3 linked regions of the Drosophila melanogaster genome follow. The protein of the gene in region 1 interacts with the protein of each later gene in a pairwise test. Each region holds a gene or a part of one and is shown on either strand. Other genes may lie near its edges.

Region 1 (6,753 bases):
CCGTGGTTTGATAAGCGTCGATGTCGAGCTTGGATTGCATGAAGTGGTCTGATCGTGAGATTTCAGCTTGGAATCAGTCAAACATTTCCCAGTTCACCGACAAGATGTGGTCCTCTAAGACTATTTTGGTTTTCCTAGCAGCATTTACTTTGGTCCAGGCATGTTTCCGATTGTGCAAGCCTGCTGGATGTTTCTTAACAAAATTTCTAATCCTTATAGGGTAGCATGCGGTTTCACTTCACCTTGGACTTTCACGTACAGCAGCCGCCGAATGCATCCGACACCATCGACAAGACCATTATTGTGGAGAACGATCGGATATCTATGGTGGACAACGAAGGAGCGACTACTAAGGCTCCGATGACCCAGTGGACAGATCAGGATCAGTATAATCAGGACGCATTGCTGAAGGTGACCGATACGCGCAGATCGGTGCAACAGCTGAATACGGAGCTCTCACCCCTGGTTGGCAGGAGCACCGATTTGGCCAGAAGGATTAAGCAGAGTATGCGATACGTCAACGAGGTGGATGCTAATCTGGACGATTTGAGCAACTTTGGGCAGCTGGTGGAGCTGCTCAAGAAATTCGTAATCCTAGTCGATAACCTAAGGGATCCAAACAATCTCGGAGGCATTCGAAGCCTGGAGTACGTACTCCTGAAGTTGGCTCTAGAGAAGTACGACCTTCTGAACAAGCGACAGGAGATCGGTGAATACTTGGAAAGGGCGGAGAGTGCCTGGCGAAGATACCAAAACACACAGGTGGTTGTTCTGGATAACTCCACCTGAGTCGGGCTCAGATGCCTAGGACCACCACATTAGGAACTTAGTTTTAGGATAAAACAGAACAAAGACCAGCATCATGGGTCGACACAATCGCTGCACCATGATCTACTAGAGCGGCTCGGCTCTTGAAAGGAATAAAAGACATCGAAGGGACTTCCTGTCTATTATTCGATTTCACTGCAATGCCCAGAATTGCTACAGGTATGCGAGGGGAGGTATTCCAGGGGTAGAATACCCTAAATTCCCTTCGGTGCCCGGTTTCGTTAAGGCTGGAAAGTACGTTACACACGCTGGGAATGCCTTTGTACACTGCAAAAAATTTAAGTTAGACCTAGAAGAGTAAGCAATCATGATAAATAAGTATTTTACCCTAAACAAAAATTCTGCTTGATTTTTATTTGTTTTATTTTTCCCTAAAAAACTGCACCTGCAATCATTTTCGTGAAGTATTGATTTATTGATATTGATGTAGATTTCCTATCAGTAGAATCTACATTTCTTGCATAGCAATTCATTTAATCTAATCAAAATAACAGTAATAAAATACTTAAAAAAGAAAATACGATAAAGTTTTCAGTGCATTTCCATTCAGCAGATGCAGGTAGTCGGAATCGAGGAACTAAGGGACCTTTTAATAGGGTAGAACAGCTGCCAGAGCCGTTGCTAATAGATGAAGTGGAGGGTAGGGTCCCGAACGCGGGCAGAAATTTCCGAAACCCGAAACAACCACTAACAAAAACCATATGCAGTTAAGTGGGAAATGGAATGGGGCGATCCCGAGGAGAACGGCATCATCAGGACGTTACGAGTACCATTTGTCGGGTGAATTGTGGGGGCGGGTATTCGGGGTAACGATATCGTCGTACCCCCCATAGATGGTACTCAGGGAATTCCCAGCAGTGTGGAACGCTTGAAAGCCGACACCGCATCCAAATCTCTGTGTTACCCCTATGGGTTCCTTAACGGTTTTCAGCGATTTCTTTTTAGGGGTGTCGTCTGGAGTGTCGACTTATAAATACGCTCGTACAATCCATAAATGTGCCTTTGTGTTGAACAAAAACCATGAAGAAATCGGTATACATAATGAAAACTCGATTGGCATAAGAGGTACAAGCTGTATGAATACAGGTTTCAACTCTTTTTTGTATCAACATCAGCCGAAACTGGTCAAACGGCTTTGGAACATGGGCCATCCGATGGCTTATGTATCGTTTTGACAGTTTATGTTTATACTAAAATTTCGCTGCAGGCGATAAATATGTATTGAGACAGCATCCGGCCCAAGAAAGTAGTGGCTAGGGGGATGAATAACAGAACATGGGATTTATGTAAAAATATCAATTACACATGTGGACAATTTGCTTGCATACATAGTTAATATACATATGAGCATATATATTCATATGAAATTCCATACAAATCCATGTTGTATGAAATTGATATTGAAACCCACGTATAAAAATATATTGCCGTCGTTAGATAATTTATGGTTTAAAACAAAATAAAATGCATATTTTTTATACATTATTTAATGTTGTTTTTAATGTTTTTTTCATTGTCTTAAATAACTCTACAACTATTGTATTATTATCAAAAATTACAAAAGTAAGCGTATAATATATACATTGCGCAAAACACAGAAGTTACTATGAGAAAACTATTTGACGCATTATTAAGAACTAAAAAAAATAATTGAATCATTGGTTGCATTAAAGTTTAACCCCTGGTTTGTGAATATTATTGTTTGTATATTAAATTACAAATTACAGTTCATTATTTAAATTTCGCGCCCTAAAGATTAGACGATTTACGATAACGATTAAATGTATTCTTATTGCTTATGTTAACTTGCTGTTAAACGAATTTTGCCCTTCTTGTAAATGCATTTGTAAATGATTTGACTTCTGTAGTGAATATTCAATTCGGCTTGAAGTTTCGTAGGATTTTCAGGACCTCGATCTGAAAGTCAAGCTTGCGATCGGCGCACATCTGCTGCATGTGAGGCTTAATGGTGTCGAAGAAGGCCTGATCAGGATCGGCGGACAAGTAGGCGGTATTTGTACTGCAGGGTGGATCTGATGGTAACTGTGGAATATATGCGATTTCCGGAGTGGCGGTGTCCTCCTTGGCGCAGCCCAGATCTCCCAGAACCGTATTTATGTTGCTTGGTATGGCTGGATTGCGGATGGCAGGCTCAATATTCGATTCTTGGTCGGAGTTTCTCTTTCGTGGAGTCTTTGCAGATCTCTGTGCGGCAGTGCTCACTCGCTTCCGTTTGGCCTGGGGCTTGGGTTGCTCCTTCAAGGATTCTACATCGTCCTCCGACTCTGCTTTCACGTTCAGCAGGAAACTCAGTTCCTTTTCGTAGATGTAGGAAGCTCTGGCCACCTCCTCGCCACTTTGACGTAGTCGGTTGACCCGTAGGTAGCTGTCCCTCGTGTTTTTCCAACGTTTGAGCAGTGTTTTAACTGGAATTGGAAGTTATGTATGATATAGACTCAAAAAGGTAGCCACCACCTACCTATTTCCTGCTTCTCCGGCTCGCTGGAGTCGTCAAAATTCGAGCAAAGCTCGTGGCCAATTTGCTGCCAGGCCTCATCTCTGAGTTCGCGGTTATGGAAGTTTGGGTGGCTTCGTTCCCATATAATAGAACGTTTGTGTACCGCGTCAATGAACTCGTACATCGAATAGCGCAAATTGCTTCCTGCCGATCGAAGAACTTTATGATTGCCCATTATTTATTGTTTATTTAAGGGTTGGATTGGATTGACAATATGTTGCTTGCGTTTAACAGCACCACGGGCAGCTGCTTAACAGCACTCCCCGCAGAGTTGCCACCTCGCCCCGCATTTAAACTAAAAACGTTCTGATGTTATGAAAATACAAATTTCAATTTTGTGTTTTATTATTAAACATATACAGATAGGTCAGTGGATTATTGTTGCTGTTGTTCTTGCTTCGAAGCGTGCGAAATGCGAAGGTATGACCGAGTAATACGTGTACGTGTTAAATTAGGAGAGAAATGCAAGTGAGTTTTGATGATTAGGGTGTAGTGTTCTCTGGATTTCTGAATGATTCTATTTACATGGGCCTGCCCATTCCGCGGCCCATTCCCATGCCACCGCCGGCCATCGGGGGTTCTCCGGCCTTGGGACTCTTTATTGTCTCATCGACGGAAAGGATCATGCAGGCTGCCTCGGCGGCCGCCGTCAGTGCATTGATCTTAATGATGGACGGCTCCCAGACGCACTGCTCATAGTTGTCCGAAATGTCTTCCTTGTTGATGTCGACGCCGTACCACTGTCCTCCTGTAAAAAGGTAAATGTATAAAATTATAATAATTATTAATTAGAGTTCAAAATTACACGACCGATTTGAATTCGCCAACGATTTTTGCAGGTAACATTTCGTTCAGGTGGCAACGCCGCTTACAGCCCGCGCAATAAACGAATTGAGAAGGTGCGAAAGAGCACAACATACAGCACATGTGACTCGAGTGAGAGAGGACGAGTGACAGTGAGGTCGAAGAAAAACACGCGTTGCTGCGGCTAAAATTTCCTCTGTATTTACATTATTTGGAAGAGAAAACGCAGCCAAACGAAATGTCCAGCTCCGGAAGAAAGCGCAAGCAGCAACTTAAGCCGCGTCAGGACGATCACCGGTCGCCGGTGAAGCGACGCAGTGTGGACATCAAGTCGGAACCCTTGGACGGCTATCCGGCGCTAGCAGACTACGATTTAAGTACGGCCGATATCAAGCCGGATCTCACTGAACTCCAATTGCAGCTGGTGGCGGAGCAGCAGGCGGCCAGCAACACCATTCGCTTGGAATTGGAACAGCAAGAGAGTGATTCCGACGAGGATGGCTACTCAGAGCTCGATTACCAAGCTGAAGATGTCTTCTGTCAGGGTAAGAAGGGTGCTCCTCCCGTCATTTCAAGACCCCACTTATAAAATTATCCTTTTTAAACCCAGACGATATGGATGACTACGATCCAGATTGGTCCAGCCAGCAGACGGGTTCCCGACTGCTCTTCAAATTTCCCATCCAGCAGAGTGGCCTGAAATTCGGACAACGCTTCCAGGGACCACAGCACTACTTCAACCAAGTGCTGGGAAATCGCTCCAAGTTCTTCAGTTCCCTGGCCCAAAGCTGCAACCTAAAGGGAGGAGAGCTCAAGTCCAATCCCACAACTGCCGAAGAAATGGAAATCTTTATGGCGCTTTCCCTGCTTATGTGTGACCTGAAGCTGGAGCACCTATCGGATTACTGGAGCACTAACATGTTTTACGGTCTCGTCGGATTCTCTGGGAAGATTCCTCTGGAACGGTATCAGCAGCTGCTGCACTGCCTTAACTTTGATGCACCGCAGCTACAAGCGGGCAGAGCCAAAGTGAAGAACTCTCTACTGCTAGACTTTATCAACGAGCGTATGGAAGAGATATACATTTGTGGCCAGCAACTGGTGCTCAATGAACCTATCACTCTGTGGAAGGGTGCATTAAGATACCAGGATGAACTTCCAAACAAATTCCGCACCAACGCACTACTGCTGCATATGCTAACTGAGCAGAGCGGTTTGGTGGTGAAGATTCTACCGGAGATTGTGCGGAAGGAAGACGCACCGGCATGGGTACGCAATTCCCGGCAGTTGGTGGAGCACCGAAACAAGATTGTCCTGAAACTAATGGAGGGTTACCATGGAGGACGCACTGTGTACACCTCAAAGTTCTATGGAAGCTACGGCCTGGCTCAGGAGTTGGCCAAGAAAAGCACCTATTGCACTGGTCTGCTGGACAGGAATAGATATGGCAACAGTAAGGCACTGGTGCACCAGCGGTTGGATTCCAACAGCATCTCCACCAGCTATGCCACTTCTCTGATGATGGCCAAATGGCGACGACGGGCAAAGAGCTTGTACTGCTTCAGCTCTGACTGCTTGGCCATTTATTCCAAGGAGATGGCCATGCAAAAGACAAATGCAAAACCTAAGTTGATCCAGGAGCTCGAGTTTCAACTACGACCTGGAAACGACGGTCGCCACCACCTGATCCACTACCAAGCTGCCTGCAAGGAGCTGAAGGCAAACATAAAGTTGACCATTTTCCTACTCAACATCCTCGTGTACAATGCCTATTTGCTATACTTTGCTAATGGCCAGAATGCGCGAGTCGGACATCTTAAAAGTTACTCGGAGTTCCGGGTGATCATCATAAAGTCGCTTCTAAGAGAAGAAGTGACGAACGAACCGGTAACTAGTATCCAGAAGCCAGAGACATATGAACGGTCAAAGAACAAGCCGGTGCCCGAGCCCAGGTTGAAGACCATTCTACACGAACCCATGCTTATCCAGCAGAACGGGAAGCCGGCCAAGAAAAACTGCCGCTATTGCCACAAAGGCGGAATGCTGCAGTTCAGCAGGTACATGTGCAACACCTGTCCCGATAAGCCGGGTCTATGCCAGGAACCCTGCTTCCTTCTCTGGCATGAGCAGCTCAAAAAAGTAATCAGACAGACAATTGGACGAAGTGAATAAAAATGGATTATCATTCGTTAAGAGGAACAAATGTTTTTTGTTTAAAGTTTCACACACAAGTTCTTTAAAATAAAAACTTATCCTTCCCCCTTTCAAATATAAATTTCAAATTCACTCATCGTTAAGGTGGCTTTGTATGGACAAATACCATTGGACACTCACCCTGGGCGTGCTTCTGGCGCAACTTGTTGAGAATGTTGGTGGCATCGAAACCGGCGTTGTCGCACAGCTGGCGAGGAATGATCTCCAGGCCCTTGGCGATGGCAGCAATCAGCAGCTGCTCCTTACCGGCAATGGTGCGCGAATAGTCCCGCAGCAGCTTGGACAACTCCATTTCAATGGCACCGCCGCCGGCCACAACGGAATCGTGCTTGATGGTGCGCCGCACGATCATAATTGCGTCGTGGAGGGATCGCTCAGTCTCCTCCAGA
Region 2 (8,033 bases), on another chromosome or scaffold:
CCTTACGTTTAGCTTAGCGTTGTTCCTATACCTGCCCACAGTTGCTTGATCATTACCATATGTCTAAATATATACGTGTATCTGTTGTATTCTGGTTGAGGCTTCTTCTGTTGACGATGAGATGAGTTCGACTGAGTTGCGTTAAGTTGAGTTAAGTTTGATGATCTCGAGCTGAGATTTCTGAGGCTGATTCCGAGTCTGAGTTCGTTTTAGTTGCTAATAATACTTGATGGCTTATTGTTTGCTGATTTATGCTACGCCTGATCCACAGCAGCGTCTGAGTATGTTTGTAGGTATTTCTTTGAAGTAGCTGAAAGGGATTAATCCTATTAAAATTACATCGAAAATCACATATTTTGTATAGCTCCTTAAAGAATGTGATTACTTTCAAAATAATAAGGATTAATAAGGATTACATTATCTTTAATTGATTAAGAATTTTATATTTAACACTTACTTTTTTGCAAATTGAAGTATATCGCTCGATTGTTTGCTGAATTGATTGATGTATTGATTGATTAAAATCGTATCGTGTATAAGAATATATATATTTAATGATCGTATTTACGTGTGTATAAGGTTTAATCTTTGTTTGTTTATAAATGAATTTAATTGTAATATATATTCACTGCTTACACTACTTTTTATTTTAAACAAGTTACACGATTCACAAGATTTATTATTATGATTAGTATCAGTAATTTTATTCCAAAAATATATGTGTTTATTTGTATAGATATTTCTTAAGATTTTGCACATGAAACACAACGCTTTTGTTGCCTTTTTTGTTATAAACTTTTTAACCTGAGCATTAACTTCTTTCACTTTGTTTTTAATTAGATTTCCGTGTTTATACTTCCATGTAGTAGTTGTTTCTTTTTTAAACACCTCTAGAAAAATATAATTAGTTGATTTTTTGTATATTGGTTTGTGTTTGTTTAGTGGTGTTGTGTGAGCTTTAAATGGATGCTTAAGGGCCACTTTTTATTAAATTTTGTTTGTTTAACTGCTTTAAGCTCATTCATTGGGAATTTTCACTTTGATTTCAATTTGATTTACTTCGTTTGTTTTATTTTTTGTGGTTTTGGGCTCTTACACTTGTCTCTTTTGGCATTTGACCTTTGTGTTAGGCAATCGCAGAGTGAATTTGTTTATTAGGAACAACTTATTGAAGCACATTGCGAAAGGATGACGAATATAATGATTTCGTAGGAATCGCACAGCTGTTTTAGCGATATCTCCGATTTTCTGACATTAATGCTAGCAAACTTCTCTCCTCTTTTTCGTATATCGTATGGCCAACAGCTGAGGGTCGAATTCGAGTGGGTGGTCGGTAGCAACAGCTGGGCGCACGGGAAGGTCGTTTTCAGGGCGGAGTTGCTGTAGCAGCGGATATTTTTGGAGGACTGCGGTTCAAGAACAAGGACGAAGACGAGGTCGCGGCCGAAGGGGGCGGAACAGGACAGGATAGGACCCAAGCAGCTGTTCGGCCTGCACAAGGACAAGGACGCTCACGAGGCGCTACGGATACGATACGAGCACGATACACGGACACGGTTACGGCCACGGCCACGGCTCAATGTGGAAAACACTTGGCGCCCTTGACAATGGGCTATCGCTTATATAAGGGACCTTGGCGAGCTCCCATAATTATTGCACATTTCCCCGATTTATTGACACTATATGTATATTTATTATAATATTTTTCAATATATTTTTTCCTTATATTTTCACTCTCTGCTCGGCCAGTGGGGCTTTGTTTATTTGCTAGAATCGCGACAGGTTGGAATATATTCGCAACCGTTGCGTTGGCCGTACTTTCTCTGACTGAAACAGCAAAAGCTCTGAAAGCCAGAACAGAACCAGAAAAGAGCGACAAAAAAGCGAGTCGGTTCTCGCGCAAAAAGCTGCACAATGAAAGTGAAAACCGTATGAAAAATGAGAGAATCCGACTGCAAAGATGGGAAGAATTCGAAAGCGAGAGGCTCGGAGAGAGAGAGCGACTGCGTACGAGGAAGCTGAGGTGAAGAATACGAAAAGCAAAACATAAATAAACAAAAATAAACGCGAATGAGCCAGCCAAAAGAGAAGAACGCACACGGATTTTTCTAAACTTTTTTTTTGCGATGGGGGTTAACAAAATTTGGACTGGGGCAGTTTCAAGGGGGAGTTTTTGGAGTTTTTTGTGGCTAAGGGTTGATTATTCGGGGGTTGCTCGCTTCCCATTTGGGGTTTCACTTGACGGGACTCAACTTCCGTGTTTCAGTGCGTATGAGTAATGTGCGTGTGGAGAGATTTTCGTGGGGTTGCGCTTTTCGGTTGGTCTGGGCTACACTGGGTTATTTTCTCTGGGTAAGGGCAGGGTTACGCATTGAGGTAGGTTCGGGGTCTGCTCGTAATTGATGAATGGAGCTGTATTGCCAAAAAAGGGAATATTGCGCATAAAATTAAATTAGTTTGGGTTGGGGCTTGGCCTTTTATGTTTTGTTGAAAGTTTTTGAATGTTCATCCTGTAAAAAGTGACTACAAACATTTTATCTGAACATAAATTTATAAAAACAAAGGCTGTTCTACTTTAGTCTTGTTACAGATAACTTTAATTTAATAAATTTATCATTTTCATTATCACTAAGCATCAAAAGTTTAATACTTAATAAGAAGTATTATCAACATCGCTTACTTTCACCTGTCTATAACACGAAATCAGAGCAATCATCTGGCATTGGCGAAACAAATGCATATTTTTTCCAAGCGCCATGAGATGATGCCTCATGCCCCACAATTCCCTGTCTATTCGATGGCGGCCATATAGCGGAAGTTTCCGCAAACGTCAGTGGGGGAGACCTCCAGAAAAATGTACGGAGATACAAACGCTAGGCGCCGAATAAACCGCTATTTGCAAACGAGCAAAGGCGATGACACTCGGCGTGCAAGTGTGTGCACTCGCGTGTGCATGACAACATTCAATAGCAGCGTAATCAACAAACAAAATGCAACCTCACGAGCTGCAACCATTTGACAGAGTGTATATGTTGAACAGGCTTTTAAAATATAACAATTTATTTTAATAAAACTTTTAATAAAATGATGCTTTTATTCGAATATTTTGCAATCACATACATAGTTGTGTTTAATTGATTTCAAACATCTTATTTAATTTAAAAAAAATTGGTTAGTAATAATAATTAAATCTATGTTGTTAGCCACAGTAAATTTAAGTGAAAATCAACGTTACGGTTAAATAAAAAATTATACTTTGATTACACATTTTCTTCAAGTGCAAGCCCACACACAGACTACAATCAAAAACGCACACCACAGCACGAGGCGGCAATGTATTGACCTTAACACTGAACGACATCGCACACACTTGCATTGCAAAATAAGAACTTGAAATAGAATAAATCGAGCAAGAGAGCAGTGCAAATAAAAAGAGAGCGCCGAGAGAAATAGAGCACGTGAGTGTATGTGTGTTCAAGTTCACCCACACCAAGGCGAGTCTAACAGGGCGTCTACAGTTGAGCAAGCAGCGCTCTGTTAACGGGCTGCAGATCCCCTGTTAGCTTTCCTCCTCTGTTTTCTTGGGGTCTCTGCATTTCAGCGGAGTTGCCAGGGGGCGTTGGGTGGTGGGGCTGCGTTCTGTTTGCAGGGGGTGTGGCTCGCCTCTAATGAGGGTTGCAACTCCAGACGGAGTTTCATCCGAGTGGAATGAGTCAGACAGCCGGGGAATGGGTCCAAAAAAGGAGCTTATTCAGCAGGAAGGATAAGTGCTTTCGAGTTCGTTTTTTTTGGTCAATAAATTTAACCATCTAATTGAGGACTTAGTTACGCCTGATATCCGAGAGTTAAAGGTCATGCGACCCTTATACATGGTTTTGTGCAATATAAAATGATCACTTTTCTATCTTATGTTTGTCGGTTTTCGTATTGTTCTGTTTAGTTTAGCAACCTGCTTTTAATTTACTTTTAACTTTTAGGCTTTCGATTGTATGAACTGTTAAGTACTTCGCAAACCTTTGTTCAACTATTTCAAATTTTATATTTTTACTTTTTGCTTCGTTTATTATTTTAAAACAATTTGAGAGCATTTCTATGCACATTTTTCGTTCTTGATATTATTTGACCGTTTTTTATGCTTTCATGAGTCACATAATGCTTATACATATGTATATGCTTAACATCGTTCAGTTATGCGCAGTTAAGTGAATTTTGTTGAATGGTTCATGAGTTTAAGCATAAGTTTTCTATTTAAAGATAGATCAGTTTCACAAATCCTATATATAAAGGATTTCTGTTAGTTGAATTATTTTCAATGACGACGAGTGTTAACTTGCACACAATAATATGTTACACCATATTTTTTTATAGATATTTCTGTATTTAATATTGTCACAGCTTAAAATTTTAAACTTTGGCAATTGTTTGCACTATTCTGATTGTGATTGAAAAGACTGTCCTTGTGCTTCCCTTGTTACTTGTGATATTTATATAGCATCGAATTGGCACACAAAACTCACACAACTCTGCCTTAATCCAATTCACGTACAAAGAGTTCACCACTTATTCGGACGCATCACGCAGATACTTTTTGTATCTGCATTCAGAGGATTGCTATTTGTCCCGATCGAATTCTGGTGCTAACAAACGAAAGTTAACCGCCGATTGGTAAGACGATTGCGCAGAAGAGGAAAAGCGCGACAGAGGACGGAACGCGACGGTGACGGTGCGTTCCACATGACGTATTCAAAATGACTGAGACCAGACCGAGACTGGACTGCAAATTTTCGCAAAAGTGAAAAATTCTACTTTCAATATGAAAACGAACTGCGCTGTCGCCGTCGACGCCGACTGCGCTGCCTGGGCGGGAGTTGTGCAGCGGCAGCGCACTGTGGGTGTGGGTAAGGTAGGTCGTGGTATGGGAATGCACAGTGGCTACAGAGAGAGAAAAGGGAGAGCACCATCACCATTACAGAGAGTGATAGAGAGAAAGAGCAGAGCGGAAGGCCGACAGAGCCAGAACCTGCAGCGAATGCAGAGAACAAAGCGGAGCAGAGAAGTCAATGTACAAAGCAGATTGGGGGTGCAATGGACGCCGAACATGGAACTCAGGCGCGGACGTGTACGTCGCCACAGTGGATGCCCGCTAGAAAGAAATCGAAATCATGCTAATTTTTCAGTTTAAGAAATCTGAAATCTTGAAACTTGAAAAATTATTTAAACAATTAAACAACTAAACAAGTTCTTTAGAGCATTATGTTAATTTTTTTTTGGTTTAGCTAAATTAGAAAGAATTTTTTAGAAATTTGCTGATGTTTTCATGTGGAACATATGGAAGGTGTGTGTTGATTTCATCCTTTAATAACCCAAATATATTTTACTACTAGCTTGGAAAAAAATAAAAATCCCTACCAACCTATATTAAAATTTTTAGGAACTCATTAAATGATGAACTATCAATAAAAAGAAATAATAAAATAATCATTATCCAACTAGACAGGCCAAATTAATGATCTCGATATCGCAACATTTCAAGTTGCCCTGTACCGGGCTTTCCAAGCTTATTTCCATGTTTCTGACGTGTACAGTAGTACATATCGTGGTTCCCGCCTGGAGTGACTTGCCCCTTTTGCGTGCTTCTTTTGGGGTTGCAAAGTTTTGGCATTCCGGGAGTTGTCGTAGCACAGAAATTAAAAATAATTGCAAAAAGTCGGCGAGTGGGTGGATTTCTCGGGTTTTCTGATCCTGGTTGTCGGTCCCTGTCTGTCTGGAGTTGCAACCCCTCGGGCAACGAAATGAAAGCAAACTTCAGACTCTTGGACTTGGGGTGTGGAAAGCGAGTGGGTATCAAAGGGCCGCGAAGCAGAAAAGGCGAGAAAGGAGTAAGAGGACAAGCGGTTTCCTAGACACTCGATGGGCTACTTTTTGTTTGGTAAGGTCGGTCCCAGGCAGAGATACTTCCTTTATGAGCTTCGATTTTAGCCAGCATCGGGGGTTGCACTCTTATGGATCTGGCTTTCATTGTCTTTCACGCTGTGGGATAGGTTTGAAGGGAACAGCATCTTGTAACCTTGATTTTCTTATTTGCCATTGTTGTTGACAAGACGGGATTAACTTTCAAGAACTTATCATCACTGTTCCCGGACAGCGTTTCAAGAAAACCCCCCGTGACTACACTATTATAATTTTTTAATAGAAACTCTGAAATTGCATATTGACTATTTTATTTTATGGAATATCGATGCTTATTATTTTAAGTTTTAACGACTGTACAAATAAACTATAGCAAATGTAATTTAACCTTGCAAATACCACTGCAGACATTTGCCAATTCAGGTTCAGTCTTCTGGGGCATTTTGGAACCGAATCTGTCTCCTTGAGGACCTCCAAATGCAACGAGGGCGTTGCATTGAGACACTGGCCCTGGCAGCCCTAATACAATAGTGGTCAAATACCATGGTCAATGACAGCGTCGTGAAATTTGCAACTGGCGACACGTGGCAGGGGCAACCAGACGCCACCCTTGGTCCTTTTAAGAGGATGCCCCCGTCAACCCAATCTGAATCCAGTTAAAAACGTCTCTCTTTCTCTCTCTCTGCATAGAGCGGATGTGCAAAAGCGCATGTTTGCGAGCTGCATCGATGCACTTGCCACACGGCTGCACGAAGGTTAAAAGAGTTTTCAGGGGCACTACGAGACTTACTACTGCTCCATCGGGCGAAGACCAAGGACCAAGGACCAAGGGCAAGGACACGCAGGCATGCGCATTTCCGCATCCGAAGTCGGGTCCTTGGCTCTGGTTCGGTTTCGTATTCGGATCCATGGCTGGAAGTGCCTCATTGCCAAGGTCCCAAGCGTGGGGAAGGCAGTGATGCCCACTATAGACTGATACAAGTTCCTGTATTACCTTATGATGCATATCTAAGCCAAAATTTCAGTATAGTTAAACAACTAGTTCAAATTGCTTAATATAAATTGTATGATAGAGGGCACCATTTTAAATATTTTTCCATCCAACGCTTAAATACTACAATTCTATTAAGTGAATTTTCACTTACCCCTCATTTTACAAAATTGTCAGTCATTGTTAAACATTACTGTACAGTTCGATGAAGCAGGCGTAAAGCTCCTGTAAATGACATTGGGTAGTAGGTGGCAGACATGGGAGAAAACAAATATAGTGGGTACCGGGTGAAGCGGATTAATTTCAGGGCTGCACACTGCAGTTCTTTTGCATTTCCTTGACAAATTGTAAACTGAATGCAACCGATGCAGTGCAAGGATATATGGCACACACGTGTCACCCACACTCACGCGGTCGCTAAAATTCGACATTGCACCGATGGTCATTAAAAGGTCAGCAGAAACAAGTCCTTGCCCAGATCCGAACTAAAATGCGCAAATGTTTGGCACGCTTTAATGTTATCATCATAATATTTTAAAATATGTAAATTTAACTTTTATTTATAACAATTGATACATTTTGTATGTGAGGATTGCATTTTAGAAGCAACTCGCAAAGAATAAATACAGCAACATATATTCTTGAATAATAAATATTGGGTATAATACGTAATGAGGTTCATATAGAAAATATTTTTTAGCAAGCATTCTGTATCAATAATAAAAGATTTTTCCATACATTTTCTACTTAAGCAGACACTCACTGTGATTAAAAGTAGTACGCAATTAAACATAGAAAAAAACATTGTCTACGCCAATTAGTAAAACTGTTGACCAGAGCGAATAAAGCAAGTCCGAATTTACATAGCCTAAACAAACTAAACAAAATGAAATTTCGGGCCTGGGCCAATTATTGGGTCAATGTGCGTGCATTGAACTGATTCGGCCAAGTCAAAGCGTTAACGTGGCCAAAAGTGTGCTATAAGTCACTCGCCTCCAGAGGGTTCATTGAGACTAATTTTCATGGGGACCCGCAGAGCAGGAGACAAGGAGCTCCGGAGGGAGTATTTCTCCTTATTTATGGCAGAGGAGCAGGCGTCGGGTCGGTGACTCAGTGGCAATATTTGGGTTTA
Region 3 (8,299 bases), on another chromosome or scaffold:
GATTCGCACTCAGTTGAGGCATATGTCCCTGGCACACCCGCACTCGATTGTCCTCGAGATCCTGATGAGGAGGACGAGGAAATCCGAGCCCGAATGCGAATCCGAAAGGGACCATTAAACAAATTGAAAGCGTTTAGCCGGACGCTGGCTTCTTGACCCTTTTCCCCGTTCCCCTTGCCTTGCCGTATTTAACACGTTCTGCGGAAGGAGCTGGGGCATCAAGTGGACCACGTAAATCCCGCTTATAATGCACGCACATGTGGGATCGAAAGGACCCATAATTGAAGCCCATGAACCGCCACATGACCAGCTCATTCCAGCGTGTCCAAAACAAGCGGCTCGGGTGCAAATAGAGTACACAAAAATGTAAAATGGGAAAGAAATGGGTTTCAAGTGCCCCGTCGCATAATGGAAAGGATGGACGACGACGTCGTCGTAGTCGTCTCATTTGTTGTTGTGTTATTGTGCATCCCGGTCGGTTTTAAGGGTTGACATTTGGCCCACACAATGGGCGCTGAAAAGGAGTGAGTCCGATTCTGGACGAGTTGAGGTGGCAACCGCCAGCGCGGCTCGCAAGTGGGTTTTTTGGCCCAAAAGTCCACGACTCCACTCGGCATTGTTTTCTTTTTGTCCCCGAAGAATGGGCCTCAGACGACATACTTTTAAGAGCTGAAATCAATTAGTTAATTGATTAACAATGCCCCAATGAGCATTGAGGGGTCACAAGGCGTAGGGGAGGGAAACGACTGCGAGTTGTTGGCGAACGCAAACGGGAATAATTCATAATATAATTATATCTGAGTGGCTAGTCAGCTAATTAAAGTGGACTGCTTGCAGTATGAATTGAATTGGATTCCTTTAAAATTCATGTAAAAACTTATCAGGTTAATTCACTTTCTAGTTAAAGTTTATCAGTATTACATCTGAATAATCATGATCATTGCTAATCATTTTAATTAGGGAGGACACTTAAGCGTTCTTATTAAAAGATAAATAAAGTGGTTGTTGTTTTCAGTTGGGATAATTCAAATATTTTGTATCACTAAAACGTGGTAATATTTTCAAAAGAAACAATGCCGTTGACACATTTCTTGATCTTTATGTTTAAATCATCTGTTTTATAAATAGCTAAGCTTCTTAAAATAATCACCAAGAAATTATTTAAGTAGCATACATTTAGCATTCTTTGTTTACTTAAGGAGGTAAGTGCGATCCCATATTGTACGTATTGCAAAATGTATATGTATAATAGGGCTTGTACAAGATAAACTATTAGTTGCTTGCTTTTATTAAAGCTAAAGACTTATTAAATTATTTAGAAAATATAATTTTTTAGGATTTACAGCCTATAGTAGATAAAAAGCTACTAAAAAGTTGTTGAGACTCATAAATCTAAAACATAAAACTATTTCTGGATCGTTACGTGTACTCAATAATTTTGGAATATCCTTGGGTTTATGAAGTGGCCAACTGTGGTTCGAAACTATTTATCTTTATCTGTCCAATTCGACTGTTTTTTCTCTGCTGCCATATTCCGCAGTCTCTCTTTTTGGCCCTGTTCATTGGCATTTCTGGCCATGCAACGCATCGTGGTCAATAACTTGCGTTGGGCTATGCGAGGCGACATCTGTACTGCTTCCGGGCATTACCACTTGGTGTTAAAGTAAAAATTGCCCAAGCATGCGTATTAAGCATGAAATTTATATTAAAAGAAAAGGGGGAGCTGGGAACGGGGAGCGGTTAGCAAAGGGACACGCATATTTGTAATCCTTATGGAGTGCAAACAAATTTCTGTGTTGTCAAGTTGCTCTCCATATTTTTGCTCCTCCTTTTTATGTTGCGAATTGGCAGAATACACTGAGAAAAATGAATTGATTATGTTTATTTGTGCCTCCACTCAAGGTATACGCTAAATTTCATATTTTGAAAACACTACGCATATATCAATTGATATGAAGTTGCATTTATGTTTGGATTTTTATTTTCGAACTAATTTAATTTTGTGATTATTCTAGTAATTGAAATGGCAATAAAACCGAAAATGACTATGTGGACATAACACTTGTTCCGATGTGGTGCAGTGTCGCAGTTGCAGTATCAGTTGCACCACAGGGCCACCATCCGAATCGACGGTTGCACCACCAGCTGTGCACAAATTGCACTCCAGATATTTTTATTTGCTGTGAATATGCCAGCTCCTCCTTTTGATTCGCTGCACCTCCACGCAGACCGAAATGCAGCTCCGATATTTATTTGTAACGGAAATGTAACCGTTAAACCCAAAAGCGTGGGTCTTCTCAGGGTGTTAATCTAGTAGCCTTAATAGATAACCCACCAGAGGCACCTTATGTCCGACTCTTTCTCATGGAAATCGAGTGCTGAAGCCGTTCTTCTGTTTCGGACTTCGTATCGTATCGCAGTAGGAGTAAAATTAACCCGCTGGCCACTTGAGTTTCGGGGGCCATATAGATCCACTCGTAACCCCCGACCAAGTTGGCCGTGTTGTTGCTGCTTCGCGTTCATTTGTTCATCCGTTTGTTGGTATGTCAAACAAGAATTATGATCGGCTTAGCCACATGCTGAGCCCGAGATCTCTCCCCCAGCCATATTCTTCTGCTCATTCTTTAGCGGCGAAGAGGAGTCTCGCGGTCTGCAGTCTTCCACCTCGTCTTCAACACAGGTAGAGCTTTAAGTGTCTCCACTTTGTGTTGAAATGTATCGCGGATACGCACCGGGTTTTCGGTCCCAGCAGACCCTCCATTCAAAAGTGTCGTCTTGCCCGCCCGCTGCGATCGGATCTTCTCAGGGCCCTAAGTCGCTGGGCCCCCTAATGTTTGTAATTAAGAACTTTCACACTCGCAACAATCGCCTCGTAAACGTGCCAGTGTCTCGATAACCACATACCCTGCTCCTCCAAGGTTTAGTGTCAAGTTTGTGCCAAGGGCTATCCAAAGGGCTATCGAAAAGAAAAAGAACCGATACAAAGTCAGCTAACCATATGTGTGCTGATACAGCCGGGTATTAATTAGAATTTTTTCATACTCTTCTTTGGATTATGCCTGTTTTTTTGAGCAAATTTATAAAGCGAACACAATGGCCAAAAGAATGGCGTAAAAATATTCGATTGACATCTGGTGCGCAAAATAATTTCAGAAAACTCTGTTTGCACAATTGGGTTTTTTGTGTGCTGGTCCAAAGTCGATTTCTATATGATGGGGGCGCGTCACATTAAATTCAATTGTTGTCACATTTTGTGTAAATATATTAATAAACATACGTTGTTTTTCCCTATTTCTTTTACTATTATTTGCTCTAATTGCGTCATTTCAAATTCTCTGGTGCTTTTGACTCTCTTTTCATTGCGGCTTTTCACATACCTTGAGTCGGTTTTCATTTATATTTCGAAATTAAGTTAACCAAACAACTTTGAATGCCCCTCAGAGAAAGAAAACGAGCTTGCTTTAATTCAAGTGGAAGATCGAAAGCAAAAGTAAACACACCTCGAGTGGGGCATAAAGATTCCGACAATGATTTCGCAGAAAATGAAAAGAGGAAAATCCTGAAATTATCCAAACAATAAAATCTGTTGATTCCCCTTGTATCTGACGCACTCAGACTCATTATGTGGAGCTCTCTCCGTGTTTACCTAATTGATGGTCAAGAAAAGTTGTTCAAATTGCGTTCTGAACGGCGGTGAATTAAATGAAATTTGTAAAGGGTTAAAGGGATTTTTAATTGATTTTTTACCTGCTTTCTGACTTGAAGTAATTTCAATTAACTTGGAAAACAATTTTAAGACTTATGCTCAGTTCTATGGGATCAGACTTTATCATAGATCATATTTTACTTTTACTAAAAAAATGTAAGTAAATGTGTTTATATGTAGTTTTGCTAATTAAAATCAAAGCAGCTAAGTTAAACAACTAACTAAAGAATCCATAATGTTTTGGCTTCAATGAAGTTACCTCGAAGAGTTCTGCATTTCCTTTAAATTTCCCGTTTTCCGGCGATTGGAATCAAATATTCGATGGCAGCATATATGCGGAATATACTACCGAATTATTTGGATAATATGTGTTTATGGTTTGTTTTTGTCGCTTATGAATTCCACTTTCCGAACTGCCATAAAATGTTGAATTTGTTGACTTTTATGGTCTTGAGCTGTTTCGTAACAGAATCTGTTTGACGAACACTTTTCCAATGGATATCACTAGTTTATGTTGACGTGTGTTGTTTGCTTTCCATTCATCGATAAGATACTTATGGTGCATCCAATGTTTTGATGCTACAAAGAATGGAGCTTGTTTGATTTGAAGTTTGCAAGATAAATAAGTAGCTTAGGATTTCAAAACTTTATGAGACTTTTAAATCGCTTTGCTTTATTTGGATTTGTATTTTGTTTCATTTCTATGAGCACTTTACGAGCGTTGAAAGTTGATATCATATGAGCACTGTTTTTTGAATTGGTTTGTGTTTTATTATTTAGTTAAATGGGAAAGAAAAGTTTGGTTTGTTTAGGATTCACTTTTACTTTGGGATATTTACCGAGAACAGTTTGTTTATGTTTTTAGTATTATCCTTTGTATTTTTTTTTTGCGAATATCGGTTGTTTCTTGGCGTTTCTTGTGAGGGGGCTAAAACCGTCGCTAGCTGTTGGCTGATCGGCTCTTCTTGGCCAAGTTGGCTGTTGCTGCATCTAAGCGCGCTTTGGCGGCTATTCAACGGATCCGTTCCGACGCGTAACTAAAAACTTGGCGCGCGCTCTCTTCAAAAACACACGAGCCAAAAAACGAGTCTTTCAGTCACCGAATGGGGCGGGGGGCGTGGCAGGTGGGGCGGTGAGACAGCTGCTATGTAACAGTATCGCTCCACAGAAGCACACACACACATACTCAGCAAATCCTCTCTGCAAAAGCTTGTGTTCTCTCTCGCTCTGGATTAATACTTTTTCCGAGAGCTTTCTTTCTTATTGGTTTGTTAAATGTTTTTTATAAGCCTGTTTATAAAGAAACTACATCCACAACAAATTCAAAATTGAGAGCAAAAATATCGTTGTATTGGTGAGAGAGAGGCCCAACGACCAGGTGACATTTCGTGAAGGAAAGAATAAAAAAAAATCCAAGAACTGCGACGTCAGGAAAAAAAAGACGAGAGCAACAGAGATAAAAAATGTCAGACAGAAAGGGATGCAGAATGCAGAGGCAGGGCGGTCAACCAGAGCAGGTGTTGCGTGGGAGTGCGAGCGAGATAAACGGAGTAGCTACTAAGCCACCATAGCCATTTCACTCTAAACAACGAGTCTCATGATGGGCGTTTCCAATTGGAATGCTTCTGGTTGGGGAAGGTTTCGTGTTACATGAAATGCCAAGTGGAAAATGGGGGTAAAGTGGGGGTCTACGACGGTCTCTTTACTGGTAAGAGGTGCCACCATTGGGAGTGAGCTTTTCGGGAGTTTCTCGATTATTTACCGCATTTGCTTAGAGACCAGCAAAGAGCGTCCAAAAAATAAAAAAAAGGTGAAAAACAAACTATCGAAAGCAAAATCAACTAATCTTAATGGACATTTATTTTTGAATCGAGCTGAACCGTGGAGATCTGAGCCTGACATCTGGCCCGCAACTACGATTCGCCTTTGGCCAATTCCCAAGCTCAAAATGGTGGATATGTTAACCAAGGTGGCCATAGTCCAAAATTGGTCCAGACAGACCACTTTGGGACACTTTATCTTTGGCTCAGACAAAGATTAAAGTAGTGTCTGTTGTAGATTCGCACATAGTACTACATTTTGATCTAAAAAACACGTTCTGTACTGGAATGACAATTAACGATTGAGTGTTTTGACCCACATGAAATACCATTTCCAAAATTAATTTTTTTATATCTGTGCATGATGACACCTGGACTTTAGGAGTATATAGTCCTGCAAAGTGCCTACTATTGCTTTGCAATTTTTCGTGTCTACATTATTGTTTTGTTAATTTGCTTTGGTGGTGGTGGCGTTGCCAGGACAACGGCTCGTAACTCCGGAGTCCCAACTCCATTCGCATTTGGTCGGGCTTTGTTCCAGGACTTTTTGTGTAAAGGGTTTTGGGTGGGCCAGGGCATTACGCAGGTGTTGCCATTGTTTCAGGGCGGTTTTTAGCGCATTTTGATTTCCATTCACTCTGTCGTGTCGAGTTCTGTCGTCTGGCACTTTGGCTTCGTTTTAATTAACAACGAACTAATGACAAATGCAAACAGTGTGTACCTGCTATAAGATGAAACTACCTACTAGCACTCTAATTTAATTTGACTCTAATGACCTAAGCCTTTCCTACATGGGAGATAGTGGAAAAGTCTGAGAAAAGAGGAGTACTTGCTGCCTTTTTGCCAATTGTCAGCAAACAATTGCAAGTTGGAAACAATGGCGCACATTTTTCCAGCCCCAACTTGACGAACTGAGTGAGTGACGAAGGGCTTGCTGGATGGATAGATGGATGGACTGCAACTGTTCCATTTATTTGGACCTGGTTTTCCCCTCTCGCTCTCTCGTCTTCTACCGCTCCCTGTCGCACTCTATGTACTGGTTGTGTCCATTGTCTTTGGCTATGTCCCCTTCTCTTTCGCTCTGTCTGTCTCGCTTCCTCAGTTAGTCAGCCATTGTAATTATACACTGCACTCACCTGAATGCCTAAAATGGCTGTGCTAGCTATTGAATGGGGTTTGTCAGATATTCAAGTTAAATGGATAATTAGTTTTTCGTTAAAGTATGATAAAATACACCTTTTTTTAAAGTTCCCTTCGTAAAAATCTAAAAAATTCGTTATAATATTCATGTTAAGCTACAATATATCTAAAGGTATAATAACCTGAACAGTGAACACTCCGTTGGGGCGAATACAAATTTCTGTTTTTCTACTACCATGTCGACCATTCTCTATCCCTTTCATCACCTTACCCCCTTTTTTCGCAGTGCATTTTTCCATTGTCAGTTTCTGTTTTCTGTTTGTCTATCTGGCCATTGTCTGTTTGTCATATTTATCATGGCAGTTGCTTTTGCATTTGCCATAGCATTCTCTGCACTTGCAAATAAATGTTAATGAGTAGTTAGACAAAAAGCGCTGACAATGCACCGACTGCAACTTAGATAGAGAATATTGTGATGAGAACAGCCAGATGGGGGATTTGCCATCTTGTTGAGCCCGTCTTCAAGGCCCTAAGCCTGCAGAATGAAGCTCAACAATCGCAACGAAAAAGATTTCAATGGAGCTCTAATGCCTAAATCGTTATTGTTGGGGATGGATAGGTTGACGAGGTGGATGAGGCTTCCACACACTCCTGACAAGCTCCTGTCGCGGTGAATTGAAAATTTTCTAAAGACCAGGACAACAATGGGGGCAGAGATGCCGCCGTTGCCATGTAAATTTTTGCACTTTTTGTCGCTCATTAATGTTAATCAAAAAGCAAAAAGCACGAGGAAAATCATTCAAATTTTCGGTTGTGTTTGGCAACCGCTTGGGACTTCTAAAAGAAGCCCTTTCCCCTTCCGCAATATATTTCACCGTGCGGATTTTGCTCTGCCCTTATAGATAAACATCGGATACAATTTCATAGGCCACAAGGCAAACAGATTTGGTTCAAAAACGATCGAAGCATCGAAATCAGCATCGATCCATCGATGGCCAAACAATTGTCGCAAACAAATGAGATTGCCATCGTCGAGCCTGAGTGCGTTTAATCCTTGCGAAACCTTCCAGATTCACATCGCAAACAATGCCCAGATTTGCAGCAAATTGATAAACCAAAGGAGAAAAAAAGACCGTACGAAAACTGACAAAACCAAATGCAGTTATGACACACCGATTGATAGGCCAGATAGCAGATAAACAGGAACTCATATGGTTTCGGGGTTTGTTCTTGGGACATGTGGGGAATTTCGTAGAAAGACCACAAAAGGTACACGTTTTTTTCACATCCGTGCATCTAGAAAAAAAAACTGTTGATTAGAACTGTTCAGCAGATGAAAATTGGTCAGATAGAAACTATCTAAATATCTTGCTCCAGAGGAAAAGAATGAAAATAAATACTTAAAATTTTAATACATATCCATTGTATTTTAATACATATACATATTGTAGTTCAATATTTTTAGGGGAAACATATCGAGACATATCGACCCAGACTGCCTGTCGGGCTGACCAATTGATTAGCGGGGCTACCATTTTCTTTCTTTTTTCCTTATGATTGTCCAACGATTGCAATCAAAATGCTAAATCATGTTGTTCACAGGCCTTCGAAAACCAGTTGTTTAATGTCCCAG

What was found. Proteins that work in one complex are often made in the same cells at the same time.
Region 2: the proteins of hng2 (region 1) and Eip75B interact in a two-hybrid assay, tested with the Drosophila melanogaster proteins (one large-scale study listed by BioGRID).
Region 3: the proteins of hng2 (region 1) and Sox21b interact in a two-hybrid assay, tested with the Drosophila melanogaster proteins (one large-scale study listed by BioGRID).

The regions. Positions count from the first base shown.
Region 1 is NT_033777.3:8,803,134-8,809,886, reverse strand, and holds hng2 (hinge2), read right to left. Parts: upstream 3,566-6,753; 5' UTR 3,522-3,565; coding exon 3,308-3,521; intron 3,255-3,307; coding exon 2,704-3,254; 3' UTR 2,306-2,703; downstream 1-2,305. Other genes in the region: CG9837 (uncharacterized protein), read left to right, coding at 105-158, 220-789; CG9839 (uncharacterized protein), read left to right, coding at 4,389-4,695, 4,761-6,322; CCT7 (chaperonin containing TCP1 subunit 7), read right to left, coding at 3,868-4,094, 6,485-6,753.
Region 2 is NT_037436.4:18,059,965-18,067,997, forward strand, and holds the start of Eip75B (Ecdysone-induced protein 75B), read right to left. Parts: upstream 4,733-8,033; 5' UTR 4,547-4,732; intron 1,490-4,546; exon of another isoform or gene 982-1,489; intron 891-981; 5' UTR 458-890; intron 311-457; 5' UTR 1-310. UniProt on the Drosophila melanogaster protein: Implicated in the regulation of ecdysone-triggered gene hierarchies. Probably plays a key role in mediating the regulation of the larval molt by 20-OH-ecdysone.
Region 3 is NT_037436.4:14,126,593-14,134,891, forward strand, and holds the start of Sox21b (Sox21b), read right to left. Parts: upstream 4,733-8,299; 5' UTR 4,546-4,732; exon of another isoform or gene 3,966-4,545; intron 1-3,965.